Canis lupus familiaris: one gene and its partner. Each later gene encodes a partner of the first gene's protein in a complex. Links are inferred from orthologs where the notes say so. Each region holds a gene or a part of one and is shown in the gene's direction. Other genes may lie near its edges. The genes, in order: GRM5 and HOMER1.

Region 1 (15,388 bases):
AATCCCCTCTGGCCCAAGAGGCCAGAGCCAGTTTTAAAAGTGTGAATCTGTTGGGCTTGAAATCCAGTAGGCACTATGATATACCCTTTGGGTTGGGGCTCAAAGTCTAATTAGATCTGTTTACTCGCTCTGGGCTTCCAGGAAAGTGTTTTGTCTATTATGATGACAGATTTAAGCAGGGCCAATGATCACAGAATGGAGATCAGTTCCTCTGTGTTTGCCACATGTATGTCAAGAACACTGGTTGAACAGGACTTTGTCCTAGAAAACACTGAGTGAAATGCTTGTAGTTTCTCAAGTACTGGGAAATAAAGCTCTTTTATTATTATTATTATTTTGTACCCAGTATCAGACAAATGAAAAAATTCCCAGGGGCATATTCTAAATCTGGCCTGCTTGGAGACTAGAGAGATAAGTAACACTAGACTCATAAGTTACAACTTCTTTGAGTTAAATTTCCATCTTTTGCCTGGAACCTAGATTAAAATTTTATATAAGGCCATGTAATATGAAAAAGGCTTGTATCTTTGTTGTAAAATTCTTGTTGAAACCTTGGGTCTTTACGGACAATTTATATAAGGGTCTATATAGTAATATTATTACTAACAAAATTTTTTGAAGAACAAACTCATTTTCTTAGATAATAATAATTAGGTAAGACATCTGCCCTTTTCTTTTTGTCTGCTAGTGAACTCATGACTAAATATTTTCTGTTAGACCACAGATCCTACACTGAGTAAAATTACTGGAGTTTTTGTCACCTCCTCTTTCTGCATCAGTTTCATTTTCTATTTCTAAGGACTTTTATATATAATTGCCTTGTTCGCATTTCGAAAATAGGCAGTTGAAATTCATTAAATAAAATCTAATAAAATAACAACCTCCATCTTGCAGTTCAGCAAACCAAGATATAGTGAAGGTTTTCTAAGCCTTCATTGACACCAATGTCTTTTCAGTTTCTAAAACGTGGCAAGTGTTCTCCTGCCTCAGAAGTTCCAGCTGTTGTTCTCTACCCCTATAAACCCCTTCCTTTCTTCTCTTCCTCTGATCAACCATTCCTTCCCTCCTCCAAACCACACAAACACAAACAAACGTGCAACATTCTTTGCATAGTTGACTTTTATGGATCTTTTATCTCTGAGAGAGTTATTTTTTATGCTTTTTAAAATGTTCTATGCAAAGATATCCAGGTCCTTCTTCATGCCATGCTGTTCTTTATAACTTGCCTTGCTCAATTCTAATGAAAAATTGCCCCTCCCACAGGTTGCAAGACATATTTGTTTGTGTGACCCAATCCTTACTTGACTTTAAGCTCCTAAAGACCAAGACCAATTCTAATTCATTCACCATTCATCCCCAATACTTAGCCATGCCTGGTGCATGGTAGCTTAATAAATACAAAATAAATAGTATGAACAAATCAATAAACACATATATGCTCATATACACATACTTAATAACATTAGGTTTTCTAAAGTCCAGCCAGTATTTTGTTCATTCTATTGCAGTTCTTTTTATAGTAACAGGCAAGGAAAAAAATGTTTGATGAGTTACCATTAGAGGAATGAAAATAAATTCACTTTGAGAAATTATTTTAAAAGGCTACTTATAATCTGATATTTGATGGATTCAGATAACCAGATAATTATGAAACATTTAGGATTACAGTAATCCTTTTGGAGTACAGAACATGAACTGGCTAAGTCTAAGAAGCACAAATATAAATACGGAAGAGGGTAAGAGGTGGGGAAGTATGTCCAGGTTGGGCACAAGTGCTTTCACTCAGTAGTCTTGCAGACCTGCAAACATTCATATGACTTACCATCAGTGATACCAACTAGGAATATGAAAGACAGTGTGTACAATGTATACCTCTATTCACATATACATTTAAATATTAAAACATATATATTAGGTTGCTTCTATGTGCTAGAATTTTCTTCTGAGTGCTTGGAATATATCAATAAAACAAAGATTCCTTTCCTTGAGGAGTTTACATTTAATGGGAGGGAGGGGAATAGACAGACAATCATCATAACAAATGAGTAAATGATATAGTATACTGGACTGTATTAAGAGCTATGAGGGAAAATAAAACTGAATAAAGGGGATCAGGGACCCTGAGATCATGAAGGAGAATAGTTTGTAGTATTAAGTAGGGTAGTCTAGGGCATACTTATTTGGGATAAGATTTGAGGAAAGATTTGAAGGAGAGAATTTAGCCCAATGATTACCTGTGAACAGTGTATTCCAAGCAGAAGAAACAGCTAATGCAAAGACCATTAGATTGGAGCATGTCAGGCATGTTTAAGAAATAGCAAGGGAGTCCTGGCGGCTGGAGCAGAATGAGCAAAGAAAAGGGAAGAGTACTAGGAAATGAGATCAGAAAGGTAACGGAGTAGGGAAAGATTATGTAGAGTCATGGTAAAGACTTGGGTCTTGACTCTGAGTGAAATGGAAAGTTACCAGAGGGTTTTGATTTAAGCTAACTTCTTTAAAAAAACAAAAACAAAAAAACACTCTGGCTGCCGTGTTGAATACAGCCTACAGAGAAAGTGAAGAAGCAAAAAAGACCAGTTTGGAAGCTATTGCTGATAAAAGATGAGAGTAGTTTGATTCAACACTGTTTCCCAGAAGATGGTTAGAAGTGGCAGCATTTTGGATACATTTCAAAGGTAGAGTCATTTTCTGACCAATTGCCATGTGTGAGAGAAAAAAAGGAATCAATGAAAATTCCGAGTTTTAAACTTAATCAGTTATAAGTATAAATAAATTTTTCATTCCTTTATACTATTCTACATAAGATTTACAATATATTGATTATTAATAGCTCATCCTAGGCAAAAGTCGTACCTTCAAATGTTTTACAATCAAAAGTTATTTTGGAGACTCAAAACGTTGTTTCTTTGTTCCTTTAAATTTTAATTTAACCTAATTTAGCACTTGACCATTTTGAGGTAAAGCTATATTGTAAAATGTCACCGAGCAATTCAAGATTATATAATTGTGTTTTCCTTCTCAGCTGAAAATATCACTATTGTTCAACATGGGGAATGTCCTTTGCATTGTAACTTTTAGAGCATATGAAGTGGATATGTCTTTTTTTTTTTTTTGGATATGTCTTAATAAACTATGTATTCCATTTATAGGGTGCCTTATCATTTCTGACAATGCTCTGACATGTCTTATCCTATCCTCTCCACAAACCCTGGCAGATAGCAGGGCAGAAAATATGTGTAAGAAATTGAAGAGTTTAACTAACTGAGTAGCCACTGTGAGAACCCCTCTTACTTAGGTTTAGCCCACTCACTGATGTGCTTTGAGCCAATTCCAACTGACCAAGAAGGATAGGAAACCTAATGGGTCCTATGCTCACTCAAAGCTAAGCGGTCCAGGCCATGATTACATTTATGATCTCGTCCTTATCATCAGTCCCCCAATTGGGCTAACAAATCATTCTGTACATCAAACTTGATCAAAGCTCCACAATCAGGGAGCCACTAGTTCCCCTTCATTTTCCTCAGAACTTTCACTATTTTTGTATTTTCTCATCTGTACCATCTTTCTCATCTTTTTTTTTTACTCAGGAAGATCAACCACGGCTTTGCTGGCCTGTCTGCAAAGTACCAAAGCTTGCTTCCTGGACTGCAATCAAAGAGCCGGAGAAATTAACAATGCCACCGTGAGAGCACACAGGAAAGAGGGGAGAAGAGAGATGCCATTGTCAAGATCAACAAGGTGTGGCGGATAACATGTCTTTTCTCTCGTTGAATACCGACGCTATCAAAGAACAACTTGCTTTGTTTTCAAGGGTCTGGTGGGAAATGCACATTAGTAGGGGATCATCAGGACCAGCCCCCTCAACTGGAGTATCCTCAGCTCTTAGTCTTTCATCCAACGGCGGCAAGCACCTGGCTTCTAAAATTCAGCTTAGGGAAATATAATGGGAATAGTCATAATCCTATTGCTACAATGTCTTTCTTTTCTTTAAATTAAGCCATGCAATTAATTCATAGCAATCTCGTCTTCAGAGGCAGACATGAGGTCTGGTTTTGGAATTTAAAGATAACTTCAGCATTTTTTTTTTTTTTTTTTTTTTTTTTTACAGTCTTGGTAGTTATGGGGGCGGTGGGGGACGGAGAGGAAAGTCATTCGAGTAAGTAAAACATATTCACTACGGAGAAAGAAATTTTAATGGATATAGAAAGAATCGTTTGCGAGACGTGCAAACGCGCGCTGCCGTCATCGAAGACTGTTCTTTCTTAGCACTCGCCCTCCGGGTCGTCCTGGGGTCCCCGGCTCTCCGCACCGTCGGGCAGCGGCGCCCCTTCTCCCAGGCGCCGTCAGGGCTTTACGCGCCCCGGCCCGACAGCAGCTCATCGCGGAGCGGCTCCGCCAGCTGCGCGGCACCCACGGCGCCCACGGCACCCCCGGCACCCACGGCGCCCACGGCACCCCCGGCACCCACGGCGCCCACGGCACCCACGGCACCCACGGCGCCCACGGCACCCCCGGCACCCACGGCGCCCACGGCACCCACGGCACCCACGGCGCCCACGGCACCCACGCCTCCGCGCCTCCACGCGCCGCTCTCCCCCTCCCGCGGCTCCCGGGGCGAAGCGGGGACCTGCACAGGGAGCCCAGGGCAACTCCCGCCCGCACCCCAGGCTCCGCGGCGCCACGAGCCTCCGCACCCACCGAGCCGGGGCCGGGGTCGCGCCCCCGCCCCGCCCCGCCCGCCCCCGCCGCGCCGCAGGAGTAGGAAGCGGCCCTGCGCGGCGCTGCCAGCGGCGTCTGCCCGAGCGCGGCACGTGCCCCCGGAGCTCGCCGAGAGACAGCGCCGCCGCCGCCGCCGCCGCCACCGCCACCGCCGCGGGCCCCGGGGCCGCTCCGCCCCCCGCCCCCGCCCCCGCCCCCGCCCCCGCTCCCGCCGCCGCCGCTCGCGCTCCAGCTCCCGCCGCGGCCGAGGCCGGCACCCGAGCGCAGGAAGCCCGCGACGACTGCCGGGCTCGGGCGCGCACCGGTAAGCACAGCGCGGTCTGCTTTCTTCCAGCCGGGAGTCCCCGCCGATGCCGGAGCCGCCGGGGCCGCCGGAGCCCCTCCCCCAGCGCGGGCGCAGACAGCCCGGCCCGCAGGCGAGGGCGGGAGCGCGGGCGACGGGCCCCGGGAGGGCAGCGGCGGCAGGTGGAGCCCCGGTGGGGCCAGGGACGCCACGAGGTCCTGCAAGTTTGGAGAAGTCAGCCCGCAAGGACGTGTGCTGTGTGAATCAGACACGAATTTCTAGTCGGGAGCCCAGACTGCCGCGGCGTCGCTCCAGTGAGAGGTTTATGAAGATCATTTTGCTTTTATTTGCATAAGTGAGGGACTTAAGTGGGCTCGTTTCCATAGAAAACGAACTAAAAAAAATCAGAGGAGAAAATAGAGATCTGAGCCAAAGGAGGCGTTTGGATTTCTCTCTCTCTCTCTCTCTCTCTCTCTCTCTCTCTCTCTCTCTCTCTCTCTCGCATACCGATACATGTGCACAAAAGGGTGCATAACAAGGGAGTGTGTGTGTGTGTGTTGGGGGGGGGGCTTATCTATCCTTGAGACCCTTGGGTGTTTGAGGGCTAATAAGAGCATTTGCTAATGCTTTACCTTGAAAGGAGGCAGCAAGAGAGGGACCTGGTTGGGTGTGAATGCCAATGTTCCATTTCTAAAATGACACTTCCATGACTGCACTACAGGAGGGAGAGGTTTTCTAGAACAGGGGGCCATTTTTAAGGGGTACCCATGTAACTCCGGACCTGTAAGCTCAGGTTCGTGTACTGCCAGTGGGGATAAGGAAACATCCTTACACTAGATTTCTTTATGGAACTTCGGCAAAGGATGGGGTCAGAGGGAGGGATGGGTGGGGTTGGGGGAGGAAAGGGAGTTGAGAATGAGTGAACGGGGCGATAGAAGGAGTGGAAGCCTGGAAGTCAGGTTTGACATAGCACTGTGTTAATTCAGTCCTATCCTGGGTAGTTCCTGGGTTGGTCTTGAGGAAAATGTGTGACCTTGAAAAAAATCCCTTCGTGTACTCAGTTTCTCCATTTCTGCAAAATGTAGACATTCTTCTTTGTTTGAGGACACTAAAGTTCCATAGAGTAGTGTCTGTCGATGATCATATGGGTTTTTGGATCTGCATACAAGGAAGAAAGAGCACCTAGAAAATCCAGGTAAATGAAGCTTCAGGGCATTCTCCCTCAAAGTACCAAAGACATTTGCAAGCTCCTGGCTGTGCACTTGGTGTAATGCATGCTGAGAGGTCTGTGGAAATAGATGAGAAGGACAAACAGACACTTAGACTCTAACCAAGGGAACCTAGAGTTCTGAGTACTGTTTGGAGCGATTCAGATCCACAGAGCCTAAAGTCACTTGCTTTTTTAAGGTAGCAATTAAAGGATGTGGTTTGGTGGCAAGCTGTGAGATTCTTTGAATCTGAGGGTTTGGGAAATAATCTGGAATTGATTGTAATACAAGGAAAATGAATGGCATTTTACTTTAAAGGTTGGGCACTCCAGATGGCAGGATGGTTTTAGAATGAGATCTGAGAATACTGTGATCTGGACAGAGGGGTTAGGAGGGAGAGGAGAATGGATATTCTTCCTGAGACAAGGGTTCCTAGACTCCTAGGCATCTGCCCATTGTCCTTGACACCTCTGCCACTTGTCCGAGGAGGGCACTGGTACTTTTTTTCCCCTCCATGCAGGCACATTCCTAGACCTCAGGGATTGCATCCCAGGTACTGAGGTATGAAGGTGCATATGGGAAAACTCAAGTCGTAGGGGTGCCCCAGATCCCCTTATCATGTGAGCATCTGGCTTCAGAGCTGGTTCACCCATCCAGATTCGACCCGAAGTCTGTGTTCCTAAAGGAACTCACTGTGCCACTTGGTGGCACCAAAAAGTTGCGCTGAGAACTCTGTTCTCTATAAATACAAACTACCACCCCTCCCTCCTCCGCGAGCTCCCCTTCCCCCCCTTCCCCCCTTCCTCAGTAGCAGGGAGATTGCTGCACACGCCGCCCTCAGCTCTGCTGTTCTGTGCGCACTGAGCGCAGGAGATGAGCTTAAGATCTTCTTGGTGGGGAGCCTGGGAATGGAGAGGCCGGCTCTGCCCCGCTGATCAGCACAGCCCAACTTTATGGGGGGCTAGCTAGACTACGTCTCACTGCCAGCTGCGCGGCCAACAGGGGGGTAAGCTTGCTAAGGGTCTGTGTGCCCAAGTGTCCCTGTGCCCGGGAAGGATGTAGGAGCTATCAGCTTGCTGGATAGCTCACAGTTGGTTTGGGAGTGGGACGAGCGTGGAGCAAGGCTGGCCAGACCTCGGGGTTGAAGTCCCCTCCGTTTGCTGATGGCCTTAGTTAAACCTGTTGGGAGAAAAGGCGAGAGCAATGAGGTGAAGGAGGGAATGGCGGCAAGAATTGAGAAAGGGATTCTGCATGCCTTCGGATCCGAGTTCCCGCTCCCTAAGGCCAGGTGCGCGTGCTTAGAATGCAGATTGTGCTGCCCCAAACCACCCCAGGGCTCGGAATTGAGAGAAGCAAAGGTGGAGAGGGAAGGAAGGAGAATCGCTTCCCATTAGATCGGTAAGATGCAGCGACTGTGGTGCCTGCTGCAGGAAGAGGGGGGACAGCGGGTGGTGCTGAAAGCACAGCTCTTTCACTCAGGCTAGTGTGCTTATTCCTGAACCCCGGTCTGCGTCCTCCGGCTCTTTCCTCTTCTGTGGATGCATCTTTCCCTTCCAAAACACAGCCTGCTAGTTACCCAGGAGCGGCAGCATGAGCGGTGTGCCGAGGAGGGATCTCAGGGTACAGCCGCTTGTGGAAAGAACCCCAGTCAGGTCCATGAACTAGCCAGTGACCAGAACCTAACCCCGACTTGGGACCTCGCAAAGGGAAGAGTCTGCCTGGAAGACTCTTGGGATCGGTGCTGGAATTTCCTACTGCCCTCATTTCCCTGCGGAGCGGGTGCTGTGGGAAAGGGAAATTGAGGAGAGGTTAACAAGCACTTTTGCTTATTTAGGCATAATCCTGGTGCTGCCTCAGCTGAACTGTAAGCTTGAGTAACCAGGCAGATAGATTCTCCAACACTTTACTTCCCGCTTAGAAATGGACTCAGGCCGGTAGGAAGGCAGCATCTCCTTTCCACCTCTTTCTTCATTCCCTACGTATTGTTTTATTGTTCTGAGTCCCTTGAGGCTGGGCCAGAGCTAATCTGTATTCTTAACATTGGCTTCTGGCCATTTGAGACAGCCAAGTTAACATTGCCTTTTACTATGTTCAGCCTCTTCCCCCAGTGGGGCTAAGCCAAGGTTTTCTGTAGAATCCTCTTAGTTATACAACATTCTAGACATTCTTTTGAGTTTTGGCATGTTCGGGTATGCTACCTCTTGCTGGGTGTGCTTTGTGCCCCTCATTACCGTCATAGAGCACAAGGAATTTTCTTCTTTAATTTCTCTTTTGTGTCTATGAATTACACATTTAAGAATCAGTTGTAATGACTTCTGTCCTTTATAGATTTAAATTTCTGTTTAAAAGGATGTTTGGTTTGGGAATTGAAAATACTGCTTCCTGAACTAATCAGGTTGATACACATTCCAGTCTTCAGCCTTCTCCAGCGGGGACCTTTTCAGCACTCCGGACAGATCCTTCAGGGTTTCTTAGAAGATTGTGGATAGAATACTTTCCACATAACTGCTTCTTTTAAGAGAAAAGCTTTCCCTAGTCATTTATACTCTGCTTGACAAAAATGTATAATCTGGATATTTTCATCGCACCACCTAGATCTCTGTTATCACATGGCAGTATTTGGGCCATGGGTTGTACCCAGAGAAAAACCAAATCCTGCAATATTGATTTGTTGAAGGACATACTGAGATTATTTGGGAGAGAGGGTGATATTTGAAGAACCCAAAGTACTTGCCCAGTTCTTCAGTTTACTTCCATAGGGAGACACAGGCCTCTGCCTTCATTTCGTAGTCTGTGATGGACATGGTAACAGACACTAAAGTGAAAACTTTGTTCAACCAGCACAAAATATGTAGTACTTGTGTGACTGAAGGGTTTTAATAATTCTAACGTTCTCATTTTTGTTCAAAACATATTAGAGATTTTATATAGTCTTATATTTTCTTTTGTGGAATTTTCAGAGCATTTTAGATAAGAAACTAAAATAAATGCCAGTAAAGCATAGGTAAAAATACAGGTAGAAAATATGAGATAGCACTAAAATCTTGAAAAATTTTGTACTTATTTGTAACCATCTTCTTCCAGGCTCTCTGTCCTAATGGGGTGAAGAGAGAGATGCATTCGACGATTCTTCCATATACTCTTTGTTATGTTATTTAAATAGAGTATAAACTAACTTTATAAAATAGTGAAGACTATCTTTATATATATATATATATATATATATATATATATATATATGATATGCTAAAGCTAGTTTGTTGGTTTGGAGTTTGGATATGCTGATGGTGTATTACTACAATGCAGGAACATCCCACAGTTTATAAATATGTGTTATTTTAAAAATTCAGAGAAATGTTAATGATAGTCCTGAAACATCATTTAGTTATTATTTTCATTAATAAGTGGAGCTTAGGAGGGCATAAGGGAAGAGCATCAAAAGAAATATTTTTTAGTTCGTGATTGCTTGTATAACCCAAGAAAATAAAATCAAAATTTTTTTTGGAATTTTCAACTATTTGTAAAAGACAGTATCTTCTTGGTATTTATCTCAGTTAAAACATAGTTCTAAAAAACATTATGCCATAGTCTTGCTTTCATTTCCTTTAAATTCGCAGAGGAAGACAAAAAAAAATCTAGAATTTACCAGTTCTCAGCTTGTTTGAGTTATATGTACCTTGAATCAGAAGGGGAAGGAACCAAGCATAAGTCTTGGTTCAGGCTCATCCTTGCTCCAACGACTACCCTTTCTTGAGTACAGTGGGCATCATGCCAAGCATTGGTGTTATTTAATCCTTATAACAATTGTGCAAGGCAATATTTGTTCTTAGTTTCCTATTGTGAAAACGGAGTTGGTTTTTTTTCCTTCCACTGTCATATAACGAGGAAATGGGAAAAATAAATAAATAAATGCACACATCTCATTTGCTTGGAAATCAAACTTACCCTCTTTCATTACATTAGGTAACCTTAATCTATGGTATTGCTAAACACCATGGAATTGTTTCACTGTGGTTTCCAGTAAGTTGTGGTATGATTGGGAGGGCAGACCCCTACACAAGATTGCCTGAATTGTAAGCCACAATCCCATCTTTGTGGCTTACTAGCTATGTAACCTAGGGTGAGATATTTAACATTGCTCTGCCTCTGCTTTCCTCATTTTAAAATGATGAACGGGGGGGCACCTGGTTGTTAAGTCAGTTAAGTGTCCAACTCTTGGTGTTAGCTCAGGTCTTGATGTCAGGATTGTAAGTTCAAGCCCCACGTTGGGCTCCAGGAGAAACAGGTTGTAACACTGTAAGGCGCATTGTATAATCACAATGAATTAATTGTACAAATATAAGCAAAGTTCCAGACCCACAATGAACAGTGTAGAAATGGTAGTTATAACTATTAATCCCATCCAGGCCTTTGAATATCAAATTCAGCGTTCCCATGTTACTGAATTTAATTTTCGTAGCAATCCTGTGGTTGGTACATAATTGCTGTTTCAAATTTATCTTCCTTTATTTTCATCAAACTCGTTAAGAAATTTAAAGGAAATATTTAGATGTGAAAAAATGTATTCTATGTAAATATGATTCTGTTGGTTTTATTTTATTTTATTTTATTTATTTTTTATTTTTTTTTGATTCTGTTGGTTTTAAAAACCATTGGGGCAGCCTGGGTTTAGCGCCGCCTTCAGCCCAGGCTGTGATTCTAGAGACCCGGGATCTAGTCCCATGTTGGGCTCCCTGCATGGAGCCTACTTCTCCCTCTGCCTGTGTTTCTGCATCTCTCCTCTGTATGTATCTCATGAATAAATAAACAAAATCTTTAAAAAAGATATCAGACCTATGAATAATTTTCTAATGATCAGCTTTCACAGTAACTCTGGCTATTTGCCATTGCTCTTAAACTTGCTCTTCAACTTTATGCTCTTAAACATAAATGTTCTGAGGAAAATTAAAAGATCATAATCATAATGGTGCTAGTGGGCACTGTAATAATAATAGTAATAATAATAATAATAATATAGCCTGTTTACATTTATATTTTACAGAGGAATAATTGAAAAATATTTCTTAAAAATCAATTTGCCTTAATATTCAATGATGTCATCATACTTTTTAAAGACAGACAAGAAGGTAAATAACATAATTATTCTTTTAAAAATAAAAACGACATTTTGAAAAACCAACATGTAATTACTGTATAAGATGTTCTTTATCTTGTTAAAACTAAAATGAACTTTATATTTCATACTAAAAATAGTCTTTGAAATGATAACAGTGTATCACAGGATACTCTTCTCATTCATTTATTACAACTTATGGCTACTTAGAATCATGCTTATTTAAAGTAAGGCAATATCCTTCACTCTCAAGGTTTAATCTGTATTTCTCGAATTGAAATTACAAGCTTCAAAACAATATAATACAGCCAGAAACAAATTACAAAGTAAAGAAGGAACAGGAAAAACCTATTCTAAACTACTCTCCTTAAATTATTAGGATGTTTCAGGAAAAAGTTTTGTGGGACTGACGAATCCAGATGATTAGCTCTTAGTTGTATTCTTTTTTGATGCTTATATAAACCTTGCCAGGATATAAATCAGCAGTTTTCAATTGGGGATGACTTTGACCTACAGGGGACATTGACAGTGTCTGGAAACATTTTTATTTGTCACAACTTAGAGGAGGTATGTTTGCTATTGGCATCTGGAAACCTGGGATCTCCAGAGATGAGAGATGCTGTTAAACATCCTACAATGCACACGACAGTAAACCTCCACAACAAAATGTCAACAGTGCTGAGGTTGGGAAATTATGATCTAAATAACTATAGGAAATAGAGTTACATCTGTTAATTTAGTTGGTTTGTATGGCTTCTAAATGTAGTTGACTGGCATACATAAACTTTAAATGGAAAGTAGAGAGTCTCCAGAATGTTTTGCAAACAATGTATAAGGTTTAACCAGCCAACCCACTTGGTCTTTTGGGAGACATTATCATCTGATTATGTTTGAGTGTGGGCTTTGGAGCCAGAGAGAGTTGGGTTCATATCCTGACTCTGCCAGTTATTATAGTATGAGACTTCTGGCAAGATTCTTCACCTTGTAACCTCAATTTCTAGAGATATTTAACGTAGGTAGTAATCATACCTACCTCACAGGGTTATTTTGAGAACTTACATTAAATAATGCTTTAACATTATTTAGCACAAAGCAGGCACCCAATAAATATTAGCTATTAATAAGTAAGTAGAGATCGAGTTAGAAGTGCAAAAGCACATTTTCAAGCACCTGATGATAAGTAATATAATATGCACAATAATGCTTTACAGTCTTTCGAGGTATGCCATAAATAACAAGAAAGCAGCTGAAGGCTGCAAAATGGGAAGATGCCTGGAATCCCTGCTTGATAATTAAATTGAGACTAGTTAACAGTAGATTACATCATTTTTATTGCTTTGCTGTAGAAGGCTGTTTCAGGTCTTCATGGACTACTAAACCAGTTGTTTAATGATTTACAGTGATCTACAGTAAGCTTTATTCTAGTGCCAGCATCTTTTAATTAATGCATAAAATTACAGATTTCACTTTTATACAATGTTATTTTATAGCCCTTTTCTGGTTTTTAGGGGGTTTCATTGAAAATATGGCATATTTTTGGATCTGGGCTAAACAGAGAGGGTGCTGGACTTTCTTGTTTACAAGGTCACAGATGTGTGCTTGAGATAGCTACAGCAGTGGAGCTTTCCTAGACTATAAGCTCTCAGTATCATACCTCATAGTGTCTCTTATCTCTGGGATGCACTTGTTTTCAGGAAAATACATCAAAGGCATTCATGGCATAGGCAATATTGACACCCCTGTCTATTTGGGATGACGCTATTGCTCAGGCAGAAGGAATCATTTTAGTGTTGATGTCTCGAACTGTGTGATTTTCTTGTGTGGGGATTAAGTTATATAAGAGACATCTGTGCCAGAAAGATGGCCAGTGTTTGAGAAGATTGTTGAAAATAAAAGACAATGTGAGCTGTGAATCTGGTTACAGTGTAAATTGCCATTTATGCAAATTCTACCCACCAACATTTTTTCTTCATATTCATTTAGGATACAGTAGGAGGCTGACTACCTAGGCAAAATACTTCTATACATATTAAATATATGTCTACTGTTTTCTATAGTGGGGTAGTGATTAATTTTATTATGCTGTAAGCCAAGAAATATATTATTGAATAAAGCAGACTAGTGGTTCTGAAAATAAGACCCTCAACCAACTTATTATATGTTAGACTATGTAAACTCCTATCATTTCCTGCTTTTGATTGAATTAAAGCTTTCCATATATTAGGTTGTAGATCTGTAGCATTTTGAAAGCTCTTTAAATCACTGTATTAGTTAATTCCGCCTCCTGATCTGTAACAAGAACCTCACTTTTTCTTTTCTTTTCTTTTTTTTTTTTTTTTTTTGCTACCGATCTATAACCTCTACCATCTCAGAGTTATAAGTTAAAGCAAATAATTTATTCTCCTGGAGACTCTATTTCCTGATATATGAAATGGGACAATCAGATGTTCTTGGCAGTAATTTTGTTATAGGTTGAAGTGGGATTGATAATGGAAAAAGGTTCTATAAATTGAAAAAGTAATACAGTATTACTTTTTCCCCTCCTTTTTTTCCCCCCTACCAGACCCTTATTAAGTAAATGAATATAGCTCATGGGGAGACAGCTAAGGAGAAATGGCCTCACCGACACTAAAGTTTTCTGCCTACTACTTTGTCAGTCCTTGCTTCTCTTTTTGATGATCTCTGTTGCCTGAATACATTTTTCAATTTTCTAGGGTGGGGCAAGAGATACTATCTTGGAACCTCAATTAGGTGGTTGACCAGAAAGCCCAGTGGAGGCAATTCTTTATTTATTTGTTCATTCAGCAGGATTTATTGAACATTTATCTTGTGCAAGGATTATACCAGATACTATATATAGTACCAATTTTAAGGGATCCAAAGTCTATAGGAAGCTAGAACATGTATAAATAGCTATAATATTAGCTTAGTAATAGACACAACAAAGTATCGATAAAAATGCCATATGAGTTCAGGGAATAGAGCAAACACAAGGTGAAGGATCTGGGACGATTTTATAAAGGGACTATTTAAAAATATTATCTCATTCAATCATCATTAAAACCCTTTAGGGTAATACTATTGTCATTCCAATTAGGCTCAGAGAGGCTTGGTGACCAAGGGCACATAGCCAACAAATGGCAGTATTTGGATTCAAACCCAGGTCCATTTGATTCCAAGACCATGCTCTTAAAAACTCTACCATAAAGGCTACTGAAGCAAGAGCATGTCAGGGATCAGAAGCAGCATGAACAAAACCATTGGGTAAAGCAGTGGAGGAGACACAAATTTGCTTGACTAGCAGACTCCCAAGGAAGAGCAGATCCAAGGGAGATAAGGCCACAAGGAATACTGGAGCAGAAATTTAGAAGGCAGATCCCTCAGTCCCACACTTAAACTAATATAACAAATAATATATTTTCATAGTAAATGTAGAAATTTAGAAAACATAGACAAAGACAAAGAAGAAATGAAAAGTGACACATCTTCCCACCACTCAGAGAACATCCTATAAAGGTCAGTGTGTATGTTTCCAGATCTTATACATGCATGCATGCACACTCAGTATTTTATATTTGTATCATATTTATATTTTAAATTATATCAATTTTTTTTCAGTCTCCTTTGCTGGTTTCTCCTCATCTCTGGGAACTGAACCATTGGAATTCCCTGGGGCTCAGTCTCAGAACTAGTTTCTTTTCTCTCTGCACTTCCTAGGTGATTTCATTTAGTTTCATGGTTTACAAAAAACAGTTATCTGTATAGTGATGCCTCCCCCCATTTTTATCTCCTACACTGACCTCTCTCAGAAATTTAACCTCTTATATCCAACTGCTTAATAAATGTTTCATCTTGAATTTCTGTAAGGCATCTAAAAATTAACATATCAAAACTACTTTTTGTTAGGTCCACCCAAATCTGCTCCTCCATGGCTTTTTTCACCTCAGTCAATGTGGTACCATCTTTTATTTGCTCATGCCAAAAACCTTAGTGTCTTCATTGATCCTTATTTTTCTTTCATATTCCAACTCAGATCTGACAGCAAACTCTTCCACTCTGTCTTCT
Region 2 (15,083 bases), on another chromosome or scaffold:
TTTTATTTATTTATTTTTATTTTTATTTTTTTTCATGATGATCTTTTAAATATAAATCGGATCACATACTACCCATAGTGTCCCATTACTCAAAGACTAATACCTATCCTTTCTATACCTCATTTTATGCCATTCTGTCCTTTGAGAATCAGTATGGCATTATTCATAGCATAGGCTTTTGCATTCGACTGCCTGATTGTGTAACTTTGGGCAAGTCATTCAACTATTTTGTGCTTCAGTTTTCCATGTATAAAATCAGTATTTAAGAATACCTACCAACAGGATTGCAATGATTAAATAATACATATGAGTCACTTGGAACAATGCCTGTATAACATAAATACTGAGTGTTAGCTGTCAGTTGCTGCCGGTGTTGGTGCTGTCATTTCCAATATCTGTGTCTAAGCCACACTGTACTTTATAATTTTTGGAATTGCCAAGCTCTTGCCAGCCTCAAGATATTGCATGTTGTTCTGTCTCTTGGTATATAACAAACTGCCTAAAACTTAGTGTTTTAAAATAATAGCAGTCATTTAATTAGTTGATGAATTTGGAACATGGGATAGGGCTTAGTAGGAATGGCTTATCTCTGCTCTCTTTGGTTCTTGGCTGGGATGGTTTAACTAGAGGCTGTAATATCTACTTTTAAAGAGTCATTCATATGGTTGGTGAGGTAGTGTTCGCTTTTCACCAGAACTCAGCCAGGACTGGGCCTTGGTTTCTCTCCATAGGCTGATTGGCTTTACTCAAAGCATGGTGACCAAGTTCTAAAAGTGAGAGCCCGAAGAGAACCAGGCTGATGCTGAATGGCCTATTACAACTTAGCCTCTGAATTTACACAGTGTCACTTTTGCCTCTTTATTTTGGTCCAGACAGCCATAAAGGTCCATTCAAGTTTAAAGAAAATGGACATAGACTCCACCTCCTAATAGGGGGATGACAGGGTCCTAGAAGAAGGACAGAGTTACTGTTGTAGCCATCTTTGGAAAACATGTTTTAATATACACATGCTGTTGTCTGTGCCTGAAATGCTATTATACTCTGATTCTTACTCTTTAACCAGCTACCCAATTTAAATTAGTTCCATCTTCTTCCGTTCCTCTTGTGCACTCTCTTTCTCATAGTTCTTTATTTTCTTTGGCAACACTGATAATAGTTTGTAATTCTCTCCTGAAGTCCATGAAGGCTAGAGCATGTTATATACCTTGTATTAGGCATAAAACGTGTTGAAACATTAAAATGTATGATCAGTAACTTAAAAATTTTAATCCTGGGGCATCTGAGTGGCTCAGTTGATTGAGTGTCCAACTCTTAATTCTGGCTTAGATCTTAATCTCAGTGTCCTGAGATCGAGCACAAGTTGGGCTCTGTGCTCAGTAAGGAGTCTGCTTGAGATTCTCCCCCTCTCTCCCTTCCCCCTTTGCTGTGCACCCACGTGTGCGCTCTCTTTCTTCCCCAAATAAATAAATTAATTAATTAATTAATTAATCTTAAGAAAAAATCTTAACACCATGTATCACATTTCCAATAGGAAAAGCATATTCCAAACTTTGCAGAAGGAAGGGAACAGAGATACAGAAACACCAAGAGTCAGTCCTTTAACTTCTCATATTTCATGTCCTACTGCCTAGCCTGGGGTGAGGATGGGATGGAGAGGAGAAATGTATGTGTATAAATTTTGTGGAGGAGAGGAGATAGATGGAGTAAGCAGTTTGAATAGCTAAATCATAAGTACGTTTTCTCTTCCCTTATTTCTCTAGTTCATGGCAAGAGGCTTTTAGCTGGTTTGACAAAGAAGAATGATAGCCTAGGAAATATTCAGTACTCTCAGAGCAGCCAGATAGATGTTCTTTACTCAAGGTAACCTAACCACACACACCCTCACTCAGAACCAGTGTTCTTTCACTTTTGACACTTATCTAACAAATCAGTTACTGGGTTTCTCAGCCTCTTGGTGGTTGGGTAGGGGAAAAAAGAACAGATAGTGGGGTACAGATAATAGTAAGAACAGCTGTTGATATATCGGATATTGTAAGACTGGGAATAGTAATGTGTGTTAAAAGTGTCTACAAATTCTAAAGGCTCATTCACTTTAATGAATGAATTTCTCATTCACTTAAATACTTCCTTCATGCCACCTTGTTGGGTGTTGGAGACCTAAGAGTGAACAGAATGCACATGACTCCTGCCCCCATGGAGCTTGCAATCTGGGGATGGGAGTAGACTTAAGATGAGTGTTTGCAAAGTATATATTTTTTATCCTATTGACTTTTAATGTATATGTGTCTATATTTTAAATGATTTAAAAATTTTTTGTAAGTATACAGTTGGCTTTTGCTTAATATCCAATCTGATAAACTCTGCCTTTTATTTAATTTTATTTTCCTTTTTAAGGATTTTATTTGTTTATTTGAGAGAGAGAGCCAAGTACAAGTAGGGGGAGTGGCAGAGGGAGAGGGAGAAGCAGATTTCCCGTGGAGCAGGGAGCCCAATGCGGGGCTCAATCCCAGAACCCCAGAATTGTGACCCAAGTTGAAGGCAGACACCTGAGTCTCTGAGGTACCCCAAACTCTGCCTTTTAATTGGGGTGTTAGAAAATGTACATTTGATATCATAATTGATATGATTGGGTTTAAGTCTGCCGTTTTACTTGTTTTCTGTTTGTTCCATCTGGCTTTTTTTGTTCCCCACCCTCATCTCTCTTTTGACTTATTTTAGCAGACTTACTTAAGTATCTTTTATGGCTCCTTTCATTTATTTTATAGACTTACTATATTTTGAGTCTTTTTTTCTTTAATGATTGTTTAGGGTTTATAGTATACAGTTGACCATTGAACAACACCAGTTTGAACTGCACAGGTTTACTTATATGCAGATTTTTTTCAATCACTACAGTACTATAAATGTGTCTTAACATTTTGATAACATTTTCTTGTTTCTAGCTTTATCGTAAGGATACAGTGTGTAATACATATAACATACAAAATATGTGTTAATCAACTGTTTATGTTGTTAAGGCTTCTGGTCAGCAGTAAGCATTTGGTTAACTTTTGGGGAAGTCAAAAGTTATACATGGATTATTGACCACACAGGAGATCAGCAGCCCTAACCTCTGTGTTGTTCAAGAGTCAGCTGTGTAACTTATCACAGACCTTTGGATGGTATTGCATCACTTCACATATAATAAGAACCCTATAGTAGTATATATTGTATTATCCTCTACCTTTGTGCTATTGATAAACATTTTACTTCTCATATAACCCCACAATACATTGTGATTACTTTTTGCTAAAACAGTCAATTGTTTTTTAAAGAGATTTTAAAATTAAGGAAAAAATAGTATATTTACCATTTTTGATGTTCTTCATTCCTTTAAGTAGATCCAAATATGTACATGTATCATTTTCTTTTACCTGACACTTCTTTAATATCATCATCTCATAGTACAGGTCAACTGATGATGAATTCTTTCAACTTTTGTGTGTCTGAGAAAATCATTTCACCTTCACTTTAAAAGGAAAATGTTTTTTGAGATAAAATTCACAATGCATGAAGTAACCATAAACCATTTTAAAGTGTATAGCATTTGTTACATTCACAGTGTTTTGTAAACATCGTATCTGTCTAGTTCCAAGCTTTTTTCATTATTGTAAATCTGCTTTCATTTTTGCAGAAATTTTTCTGGGTAGAGAATTTTTGATGAGGTTTTTTTTTTTTCCTTTCTTTATTTTTAAGATGTTTTTCTGTCTCCTGGTTGATAGTGTTTCTGATGAGAAGTCCGCTGTCAAATATTTTTTCCATCCCTCCCATCTTTGAGGACTTCAGGTGCCATTTATGTGTCTGTTTCTGTTGATTGATTTTTGCGCTGATAGTATTTTTAAGTGTTAGATATTTAGAATTTGTTGATTAGGTGCTGAATTTTTGTATTTTTAAAATATTCATTAGAGGATCTAATGAAAGAAGTAGGATTTTTTTTTAATATTTATATGGTGATAATTGCATATGGTGATAATGCTTGTCTTAGAGGAAGTAGAAAATAGTGTATTAACATGACATAACAAAAGTCTATAACTTAAGAGATTTTGAGTTGGTTACTGTGTTATTCAGAAGTAAAGAAAAAGGAAATTTAAGTTTTCATTACAAACACCATTCACTTCTTTGGAAATAGTGAAAGTCATGGGCTTTGGATTTAGTCTTGCATTTGAATCCCAGAAATACCAGCACTAGCTGTGACCTAGCTTTGTGTTAAACTCCCCCCTCCTCCAATAAGTCTTTTTTTTTTTTTTTTTTACTCTTTTTATCTCTTAATGTTGTTTTGAGATGAAAATGAGTGTGTATGTGTGTATACATATATATATATATATATGTTAATATAAGGTGTTTACATGTAATAGGAATTCAACAAAATGTTGTGTTTTCACTTCAGCCCATCCTTCAACTGTTTCATTTTTGCAACAATACTACTTCTGGATAACACATTGATTTGAAGTTTGGTGAAATGGGGAGAATAATAGTCACTACTCAACTATACTTGTTATTCTTAAGCAATTACTGTAACTCTTCCCATAGCAATAATTTGTTATTCCTGAGCTTTAATTTTTATCAAATTACACTCAGTTGAAGATACCCAGTTGGTAAACAAATTGCCCAAAAGTGCTTTAATATTTTCAAAATTGCTTCTATTAAGATTTTATGCTGTTTTTCAGGAATTCTTCCCATACTGAGTCAACCTATTATTTGAGGAATAAAATCAGAAATTTATTTTTAATAGAATTTAGAATAAACTAATTCTGTAAATGGAGAGTTAATAGATTTTAACCGGATGAAGATTTGTACCATAGTCCTTAATCCATGGTTTCACTTTCAGTGGTTTTAGTTACCAGCAATCAACTGTAGTCTTGAAGCAGATGTGATGAGATGAAGGTCCATAGTAGCCTAACACTATGTCACAGTACCTACAACATTCACCTCACTTCATCTCATCACATAGGATTTTATCATTTCACATCATTACAAAAAGGGTGAGTACAGTATATTTTTTTGTGATAGACCATACATCAAACTTTTTTACAGCATTTTCTCTTTTATTATTAGTTATTATTAATCTCTTACTGTGCCTAAGTTATAAATTAAACATACACACACACACACACACACTCACACACACATACACACACACACACACACGGAAAAACAATATATAGGATTTGGTACTATCTTTGGTTTCAGGCATCCAGTGAGGGTCTTGAAACACTTCTTGCAGATAAGGGGAGGACTACTGTGTCATCTGTTATCATGTTAGTCTCCTATGTCTGCTGTAGCAAAACAAAGTTGGTGGCTTATAACAACATGGATTTATTTTGTTAAGATTCTAGATGTCAGAAGTCCAAAGCCTGTTTTACTGAGGGTGAAATCAAGGTGTCAGCAGGGCTGTAGTCTTTCAGGAGGCTCTAGGGGAAAATGGTTTCCTCCCCTTTTTTACCCTCTAGAGTTAAACTCCTTGCATTCACAGTTCATGGCCTCTTCCTCCAACTATAAAACCAGCAGTGTATGCATCTTCCAGTCTCTCCCTCTCCTCCCTTTGTCACATAACCTTCTTCTGGAGTTAAATCTCCTGCTGCCACTTTCTTATAAGGACACTTGTGATTACATTTAGGGCTCATCCAGATAATCCAGAAGAATCTTTCCATCTGAAGAGCCTTAACTTAATCATAGCTGTGAAGTTCTTTTGCAAAATAAAGTAACATTCGCAGATTTTAGTGTTAGGACCTCCATATCATTGGGGGCATTATTCAGCCTTCCACAGTCTTTGAAAGGGGATATCAATAAATCCTATTTTTCAAATGTTAGTGTTTTTATGCCATCCTATATTTCAAAGCCTGTTGGCTTACTGAAGTCTGTTAACTTCTCTTTTCTGTTGACTATTTTCAATTTTACCTGGTAAAGTATGTTTTTTCTGCCTATGTCAACAAATATTTAGTTGTGATGATTCACAAGAAAAACTGTCTTAAAAGTCACATCACCGGGGAGCCTACGTGTGGCAATTGAGCCTCCGATTCTTGGTTTCAGCTCAGGTCATGATGTCTCAGGGTTATGGGATCGCATGGGCTCCCTGCTTAGTGGAGAGTTCGCTTCTCTCACCCTCTGCCTGTCCCCCTGCTCATGCTCTGTCTCTCAAATCCTTTTTTTTTTTTTAATTCACATCATTTTTAGGGAATTTATAAGTGGTTTCTAAAGTAGTTCTTACAACCCATTTTGCAGAACTTGTTCTTATGGAATTTAGCCTTTCTGATTATGTATGTGTGAATTCTGTAATAGCTCAGATGGCTCTTATTGGAAGTATACACAACTTCCCCACAGTACAACTAGCTAGGGACTTAATTTTTAAAACTGAAAGGGAACATTTCCCTGGAACAACACCTTTACCCAAGGTGAAATATTCAGTGAAATGCTAGAAGGATTAAATCTTTAGTAGATGTTTTTGCCACAAAAAAGAAACCAAGATAGGGAAAACAATGGGAAGAAAGTAGAAAGTATTTTTGCACATGTACAGCTCCTAGTTTGTTAAAATATACATTTTCTTCCTATCATGTAATCCTTTTCAGAAATACCATATGTGATGAAATTTAGCCAGTGTCTGAAACAGATAGGAGATAATTTGGAGTTCATAACTTCTAGTCTCAAAGACCAGTGCTTTCCCCTCACACAGGCTAACATTATTATTGTTGTTGTTGTTGTTATTGTTACTGTGATCTGTTACAGAGGTGGAACCATTCTGTCAAAATACAGATTAGAGAGTTATGTTTCCTTGCAGAAGGAAAGCTCAAGAACTATGATAATTGAGATGACTAAAAATAAGTTATTGAATCCTTCCAAACTACACTGTCATTCCAATGAAGTCTTAAAGTACAAATTGCTTTCAAAATACAAGTAAAACATAAATGATACCAGTGAACATACATACATTCCATGAAAACAAATACTCCCAACAGTGCTTAACATGCACAGTAACCATAGTTGTGTAGCATACTATCCCACTTCTGTCAACAAAATTAGAGGGAAGGGCCATGCAAACATTTGGTTACAGCGTGAACTCATGACAAAAGAATTATTTTCCCATCCAAGGAGTCACTATAGGGTAAAGTTGGGCACTCCAGAGCTAAATTATATTTGTGTGCCAGCTCTACCAAGTGTTATCTTGAGCAAATACCACTCCATATACCTTAGGTTCCTCATCTTCAAGAGAGGAATAATAGTACCTCATAAAGGCTGAGAGGATTCAGTAACACAGGGATAGCAGTTACAACAGTGTCTGACCCTATGTTTAGCCTTCAAAAATGTTAACTATAACCAAAGAATTTGCCATATACGCATTTATAAGTTTAAGCTTTTGCTTTCAGGTTTGAGTGGCATATCTGAATTTCTCATTTTGAATTATCCAATCTATGGCTTTCCTCCTTCGGCATAAATGATGGAAGCCGTAATTTGTGTGCTCATTAATTGATACAAGAGAAATTGTTGAGAGTTCACATCATACCAAGTGCAAAAGGTTAAAAACTGTCAACTTTTTTGTCACTGACTTTTTAAAATTCAAAAGCTAGTTTTTAAGCTACTCAGTTTTTATGATATTAAATCTGTAAGCTTTCGATTTATACAGAGAATTTCCACTTATTATCAAAAAATCAAGAAAATGGTAAAGCAGGACAGTTGAAAATAGTGTTGAAAAGAAGCAGATGAATAGATAGATGATATCATTACTGAGTAAAAAACAGAACATGGCTGAGTTTCTTGGCAAATGAGCCGAGAAGTGTGTTGCATTGTAGTCTTACTTGGATATAACAGCCATAGATGAATTTTTCCCTTGCATGGTCATAGGAGATACTGAGTAACATCAGGATTCAATGGGAGTTTCTTTTATCAATCTGTTAAGAGATCTAAGGAAGAACTACTTTTTTTTTTTTAAAGTTTTATTTATTTATTTGAGAGAAAGAGAGCACTCAGGAGCTGGACGCTGGAGGGAGAGGGAGAGAGAATCCAAACCAGACTGCATACTGAGCGCAGAGATCCTACAACCGTGAGATCATGGCCTGAGCTGAAGCCAAGTGTTGGCCACTTATCTGACTGAGCCACTCAGGTGCCCCTCAAGGAAGGACTTTATTTATTTATTTTTTTAACATTTTATTTATTCATAGAGACACAGAGAGAGGCAGAGACACAGGCAGAGGGAGAAGCAGGCTCCACACAGGAAGGCTGACGTGGGACTCGATCCCGGGACTCGAGGATCACACCCTTGGCTGAAGGCAGCACTAAACCGCTGACCCACCCTGGCTGCCCAAGGAAGGACTTTAAATCTTAATTCAGTGTAGGCTTTTAAGATGAGAAGAAATTTGCCTTCTGGCTGTGTTACTAATGGGGTTTAATCTTATAGAATTTAGAATAGTTAACAGGTTCCTTAAGCAAATACTTTTGATATTTCTGCCAAAGTACCTTAATAGTAGAAAAGAGTATCATTTAGGATACTAAGGATAGGAAGGTATCTCTTTTGTGGTATGACTTAGCTTATAAATTCATGTGAACTTTTCATTCTTTTCCATAGTCTAACCATATTTATTTCTGATGTGATTTTTATTACCATGATGTAAAATGTTGTGGGGAGACTTGCTGTGCTCACGTTGCTGTTTGTAGTACTCTTGTTAATACCACTTCTCTCCCTTTTCTTGAGAAATAAGGCTACTTGTTTTTCTCAAATGTCTCAAAAGAGCATTCAGTTGAGACTCCGGAGCTCTTTCTCACATGGTGAGAGGCTCTTTCTGACTGGGAGAGATTTAACACTAGGTATTCTACTTTGCTCACTCTAGAGTATGGCTTTTATGGAATAACTGAGAACTGGTTCCAAATAGTTGCACGAGGCAACCTTAATTAGATTCCTGGTATCATCCACTTAAAAATTGTGAAATGTCTGCCAGACATGAAGGCTTCAGTAGAATTGGTACTTTTTCTGTTTGTCCATTGGTTCAGCTACTATTTGTATTTAGTTAATTGATCATGATATTCTCTTCTATGTTGGCTGGGAGAACCAGTTAGGAAACTTTTCCAGTTTGAGATGAGTGGCTTTCTTAGAATTGGTATCTTACGTGATTTTGTAGGACAAGCTTGCTGGTTCAGAGTGACACAGGAAGTTATATTATTTGTTATTTGTTGTGTAAGATAATTCTAGATATCATTACACATCATAAGAGAATTTTGAGCAGACCTAGTTGATGGAGAAACTTGCATCAGTGGGGATTTGTGGCTGATTTGTAGGAAGTATTCTATGGGCAAGAGTATTCCCAAATCTATTATTTGCTGGATGAATCCGTTATCAATAGGGCTATATTTTTAACTGTCATTTACGTTTTTTTTTTTTTTTTAACTTAAGGCCTATATTTAGTAAAGGGTGCAAACATACAGTTCATTGAATGTTTACATATGTATTTATCTGTGTAATCACCAAGATAATATTCTACTACTTACATTTTTTAAAGCAAGCAGATACATTCATTGCATTACAATTGTTTGCTTAAACTTTTTTTCTTATTACAAGTACAGTGCATGTTCACATATTGAAAAATTAAGATTAAAAAGTTGCTTATAAATCCCATAATCAAGAACTCTGTGTGTTTTAGTATACATTCTTTCATTCATTCACTCATTCATTCATTCTTAGGTGCCTAATGTGTGCCAGGTATTTGGGTTGCTGGGGACATAGCAATAATCTAAAAAGACATAATTCTTGCCCTTGAGGAGATAACATTCTTGCCGCAGGAGAGGGACAGTAAATAAGAAAACACATTGGATGTCACATGGTGATATGTCAGGGGGGGAAGTCAAAAGAAGGGGTCGGGGGAATAGGGAAAGGAGCTGCAGTTTTTCATAGAGGAATCAGAATGGCCTCACTGAGAACATAATGTTTGAGCAAACAGCTGGAAGAGGCAAAGAAAAATACTAGACAGATTTGGAGGGAAAGATCACTTCCTTCAGGCAAAGGCCCTGTGGTAGGCAGTGGTGGACATGTTTGAGAAACCCCAGGAAGGCCAGTGTGGCTGGAATAAAAGACAAGTGGCAAATGAGGTTGGAGAGGCAGGGGCCACATCCTGTAGTGGTTCTTCCTCCTGGCTACACAGGAGAATCACCTTGGAGGCTGGGTGTTTCTAACGCAGCCAGGGTTGAGAAACATTGGTAGAAGGCCTTTAGACCATTTTAAGGACTTTGGTTTTTACCATGAGTGAAATGGGAAACCATTGGAGGGTTTTGAGGAATGACTCACCTGATTTAGGTTTTATTATTTTAAAATATTATGAAAATAAAACTTTCCTGAATCATCATCCCACCTGCTTCAGTAGCCATCTCCATTTTGCTTTAGTTAATATACCCTCACCCCTCCCACCCTTTTTACCCCCCAGAGTATTTTAACACTAGCTTAGGTTTTTAGAAGGATAACTGGTTTCTGTGTTGAGAGGAGGACAAGCAGGATGAAGGCTGAATATAAGTATATCCTCTGTGGGGTTTTTTTCCTTTTATATTCCTTTTTTTTTTTTTTTTTTTTTTTTAAAGATTTCATTTATTTATTTGACAGAGAATGAGGGAGCACAAGCAGAGGCAGCAGCAGAGGGATAGGGAGAAGCTGATTCCCTACTGAGCAGGGAGCCAATGCAGGACTCCATCCCAGGACCCTGAGACCATGACTGGAGCTGAAGGCAGATGCTTAACCAACTGAGCCACCCAGGCACCCTTTCCTGGATACTCTTAAACAAAAATTAAATTATACTGGATTCACTATTTTATAAACTATTTTCCTTGACTATATTAGACATGTCACTGAATAGTCAATTACTTTGTTTTTAATGGCTACATCGAATTTTATTATATTGGCTGCACCTTAATTTATTTGGTCTTACATTATTGAACATTTTAATTTATAACCTTTGGTAATCAGACTATGTGGTAATACAGCCCTTTAGCTAAATCTCTGCGTATACCCATGATTATTTCCTTAAGGTAAATTCCTAGAATGGAATTGCTATGTCAAAGGATATGCACAAAAATTTAAAGGCTTTTGATATGCATTGTCAAAGTGTTTTTCAGAAAGGGTTTACTAATTTATACTCCCACCAGCTGTTTCTGAAAGTGTCAAGTTTTCTTAAACTCTCACTAACATTGAAATCTTTCATTAAAAAAAAAAAAATTCCTGTTTTGACAGGTGAAAAAATAACTCATGGTTTTAATTTGCAGTTCTTTGATTTCTAGTGAGGTTGAATTTTATTTCCATTTGCATTTAAAAAATGCTTATTCGTATCATTTGCTGATTGTGTTACTTGGGGTGAGTCACTTAGGACATGTTTTTGTACTATGAAATGGGTATTGTGTGCCAGCTTCTCAGAGTTTTCACAAACTTTAAACAAAAGCATTTTGTATGCCCAGGTTTATAAACTGTTTGACTATGATCCACAGTAAAAAACAAAAGGCATCTTACGTTGCAACCAGCATTGGTAAATAAGTAGCCAAAAGTTTTATGAATAATGCTTCTACTGTATCCAAGTGAGATGCACTCTGACACTTTACATCCTTGTTCTTTTTTAAAATGTCCACTGTTAACCTTTAGTTGATCATGATCCTCTGGGTTGTGATGCAGTGTTTAAAAAAACACTGCTATAAGCTGTAGAGTACTGTATCTTGTTAGGTGCTTTTCTATCTACAGTGATTACCTCTACCAAATACCCTGAACGTCAGTCTGCCCTTTAGCTCTACCAAAATTCGCTTCAGAAAGGCTATAAGTAGGAGGTAAGACTCCAAACTTAGCTTATTATATTCCTATATCAGGTTTTTCATCAGTGAAAAATACTAAATTTATTCACACTCTGAAAATGTACTTGTTTGGACTTCTATAATGCCATAATGACTGAATTATTAACATGGCTGTTTTGAAATAGATCTAATGCATTTGAACAAAAAAACCTACATCATTATGGGGATTGTATTTGCAAAACCCCCAATTGAGACATAGCATCTGACAGAAGTTTTGTCTATAATTTTTGGTACCTGAAAATCTGACAAAAGTGGGAAATGCGAATCACATTTAGCTATATTTAATACAGCTCTTTTTCAGTAGAACAAATTAGTGTATGAAAGTTGAATAGTCCTGAGAGACTAAGAGTATGTGGCTTCCATATATAAAATCCAGATACTATTCTAGCTAACCTAAGTGAGGACCACTCAGAAAGGAATTAGCCAGGTGGAATTATTAGCTGTGACTGGAGAAAACTCCATTTGATGGGAGTGATTCTTTCAAGTCTGAGGAATGTTGGAATGGAAATTGCATAGAGAAACAGAGTGGGGATGGGGTGATGGTGTTTACTATTTGAAAAACACCCAGGAGTTTAACCTATTTAACAATAAAACCTTGTTGTTACTTTTGACTTGTAGTTTAACATTAAATTTTTTTTTAAGATTTTATTTATTTATTCATAAGAGACACAGAGAGAAAGAGAGGCAAAGACACAGGCAGAGGGAGAAGCAGGCTCCATGCAGGGAGACTGATGTGGGTCTCTATCCCAGGTCTCCAGGATCACGCCCTGGGCTGAAGGCAGCGCTAAACTGCTGAGCCACCCGGGCTGCCTGACATTAAATATTTTGTTTAAAAAATATTTTTTGATGCTAAGCCAGGAAAATTTTTAAAGACTCTAAGTTAAAAGTTTGACTAAAAAGCATTTACTACTCCTCTGTTCACCCCTCCACAAAGGAAAAATTTTAAGGAAGGTGAGAAACAATTTGGCATATAAAAATTAAAACTAAATTTAATACCAAGGAACTGTAATTTACCTTTGAAAAAGAGCAGAATATATATGCCGTTTCTATACTCTATTGATTTTCAAACATTAAATGTCATCACATTTAGAAAAATAAGCAACTCTGCTTTTCTGTACTTTAGTGGGTGTTGACCTTAATTAAGTGTGCATATGTGGTTAGAATTATGAGATTTCTCTTTGCATATGGTTTGAGTGCTGAATTTTGGATTCTGGTCTCTTCACTCTCTGAAGCTAAAATTAGGTTTTAAACAAGCTCAGAAATAAGTGTAGAAATCTACTGGGCTCAAATGGGCCAGAAATATATGAAGCATTCCTCAGCCTCACTAGTAATCAGGGTTATGCAAATGAAAGCAACAATGAAATACCATTTCATGCCCATCAAGTTGGCAGAAATTAAAGCTGTCACTTGGACATTATCAAGTGTTGGGAGGAAATAATCTAAGACTATTAGAATATAAATTGGTCATGTGCTGTGAAGAACAATTTGGAAATATGCTATGGCGCATACTCTATGACCAGGAATTCTTCTAGTGTATCTTCTTGCATGTGTGAACAAGTAAACACACAGGGGCATTCTTTGTAATAGTATGAAAATTAGAACCTATGTATGTCTATCAGTAAGGAAATAGCTACATAAAATAGTCCAATATTTTCCAGTTGAAATACAATGTGAACATCATGTGCAATTTAAAATTTACTCCTGGAGTGCCTGGGTGGCTTAGTTGGTTAAGCGTCTGCCTTCAGCTCAGTTCATGATCCCAGGATCCTGGGATGGAGCCCTGCATATTGTCTCTATGCTCAGTGGGGAGCCTGCCTCCTCTTCTGGACTCTACCCCCATGCTCTCTCCATTGCTTTCTCTCAAATAAATAAATTAAATCTTTAAAAATAAATACATAAATAAATTTAAAGTTTTAAAAAGGTAATATCAATTTTAATACATTTTGGCACATTATACCAAAATATTTATCTTTTAAACGTGATTAATATAAAAATCATTGGACTATTTTACATTCTTTTTTCATACTAAGTCTTTGAAATCCCTTATGTATTTTGCACTGAGAGCATATCTCCATTTCGATGCTAAAGTTTATCAGAAATACTTGATCTGAATTTAAATTTCATCAAAAGTACAGTTGAAATAGTAGATTCATGTAACCAAGTTGTTCCATACATGCTTAAATGTATTTAAATAACTGACTTGGGTATCAAAAATCTAAGCTGATTCACTTTCTCAATTGCATTAGCTGTATTTCAGATAATCGGTAGTCATGTGACTAGTAGCTACCATATTGGACAGTGCAGCTCTAGTGATAGCATAAACTATACTGCATAGCAGTTAAAATAAATGATATACATATGTATAAAACATGGCTGATGATTCAAATTTCACAGCATCAGTAAAAATTCTAGAGAAATGTGTGGTTTAATGGTTTGCTTTGAGCAATTTAAAATACTATTCACAATAATACATGGAATAATGTAATATTTATGCAACCACTATTCAAATATAGCAGACATTAACATTTTGCCACAGTACCTTCAAATCTTTCTCTTCAGTCCTGAATTTATTTTTTATTTTATTTTATTTTATTTTATTTTATTTTATTTTATTTTATTTTTTAATTTTTTTTGAATTTATTTTTTAAAATATCCATTTCAGATATTGTATGAATTGAGTATCCACTTGATTAGTTTGTAGTAGGTATACAGGAGAAAAGTACCAAAGAGTAATACTGTTCCTTGAAATATTGGTGTTAGAATTCAAGTGGTCTTCTAACATTTAATGCATTTGAAAAGTTTTTAGGAATTGGATGTCTACTAGAAAATTATTTTAGATTTTTAGGAATGCACCACCTGTTTTAACCAGAATTAAATTCTTAATAAGAGGCTATTCGCTTTAGATTTCCCTAGTGTATATTTTCAGTTCTTACTATTGAAGTTCTAAAAAACATATGCCTGCTATGTTTCTGGTTCATCACTAGATGGAGTTGTTGTAGTGCAACTATGTGTTGGGTGGCTATTAGTAGAATAATCTTTGCTTCTCTCAAAGTAAGCACGTATTGTTTAAAAGATAACATTCTCAACATCTACACAATCAGCTGTTAAACACATAACATGGCAATAGAAATACATAGTTGATAATACGCAGTTATCTTTGAGCAGCATCAAAACAGCTATTTTAGTCAGTAAGGTTTTTCTTATATGGGTGTGTAAGGAGGTGGAATTAAACCAGTTCT

What was found.
Region 2: the proteins of GRM5 (region 1) and HOMER1 are in contact, whole or in part, in a crystal structure (PDB 1DDV), measured with the Rattus norvegicus proteins. The link is inferred for Canis lupus familiaris from reciprocal best matches to the Homo sapiens genes GRM5 and HOMER1. Residues at the interface, in XP_006229721.1 of Rattus norvegicus: Thr1155, Pro1156, Pro1157, Phe1160; in NP_113895.1 of Rattus norvegicus: His12, Phe14, Trp24, Thr70, Ser71, Gln72, Lys73, Phe74, Gly89, Phe90.

What each region holds. Positions count from the first base shown.
Region 1 is NC_049242.1:11,065,911-11,081,298, forward strand, and holds the start of GRM5 (metabotropic glutamate receptor 5), read left to right. Parts: upstream 1-7,025; 5' UTR 7,026-7,216; intron 7,217-15,388. UniProt on the Homo sapiens protein: G-protein coupled receptor for glutamate. Ligand binding causes a conformation change that triggers signaling via guanine nucleotide-binding proteins (G proteins) and modulates the activity of down-stream effectors.
Region 2 is NC_049224.1:27,539,070-27,554,152, forward strand, and holds the start of HOMER1 (homer protein homolog 1), read left to right. Parts: upstream 1-4,902; 5' UTR 4,903-4,917; coding exon 4,918-5,021; intron 5,022-15,083. UniProt on the Homo sapiens protein: Postsynaptic density scaffolding protein. Binds and cross-links cytoplasmic regions of GRM1, GRM5, ITPR1, DNM3, RYR1, RYR2, SHANK1 and SHANK3.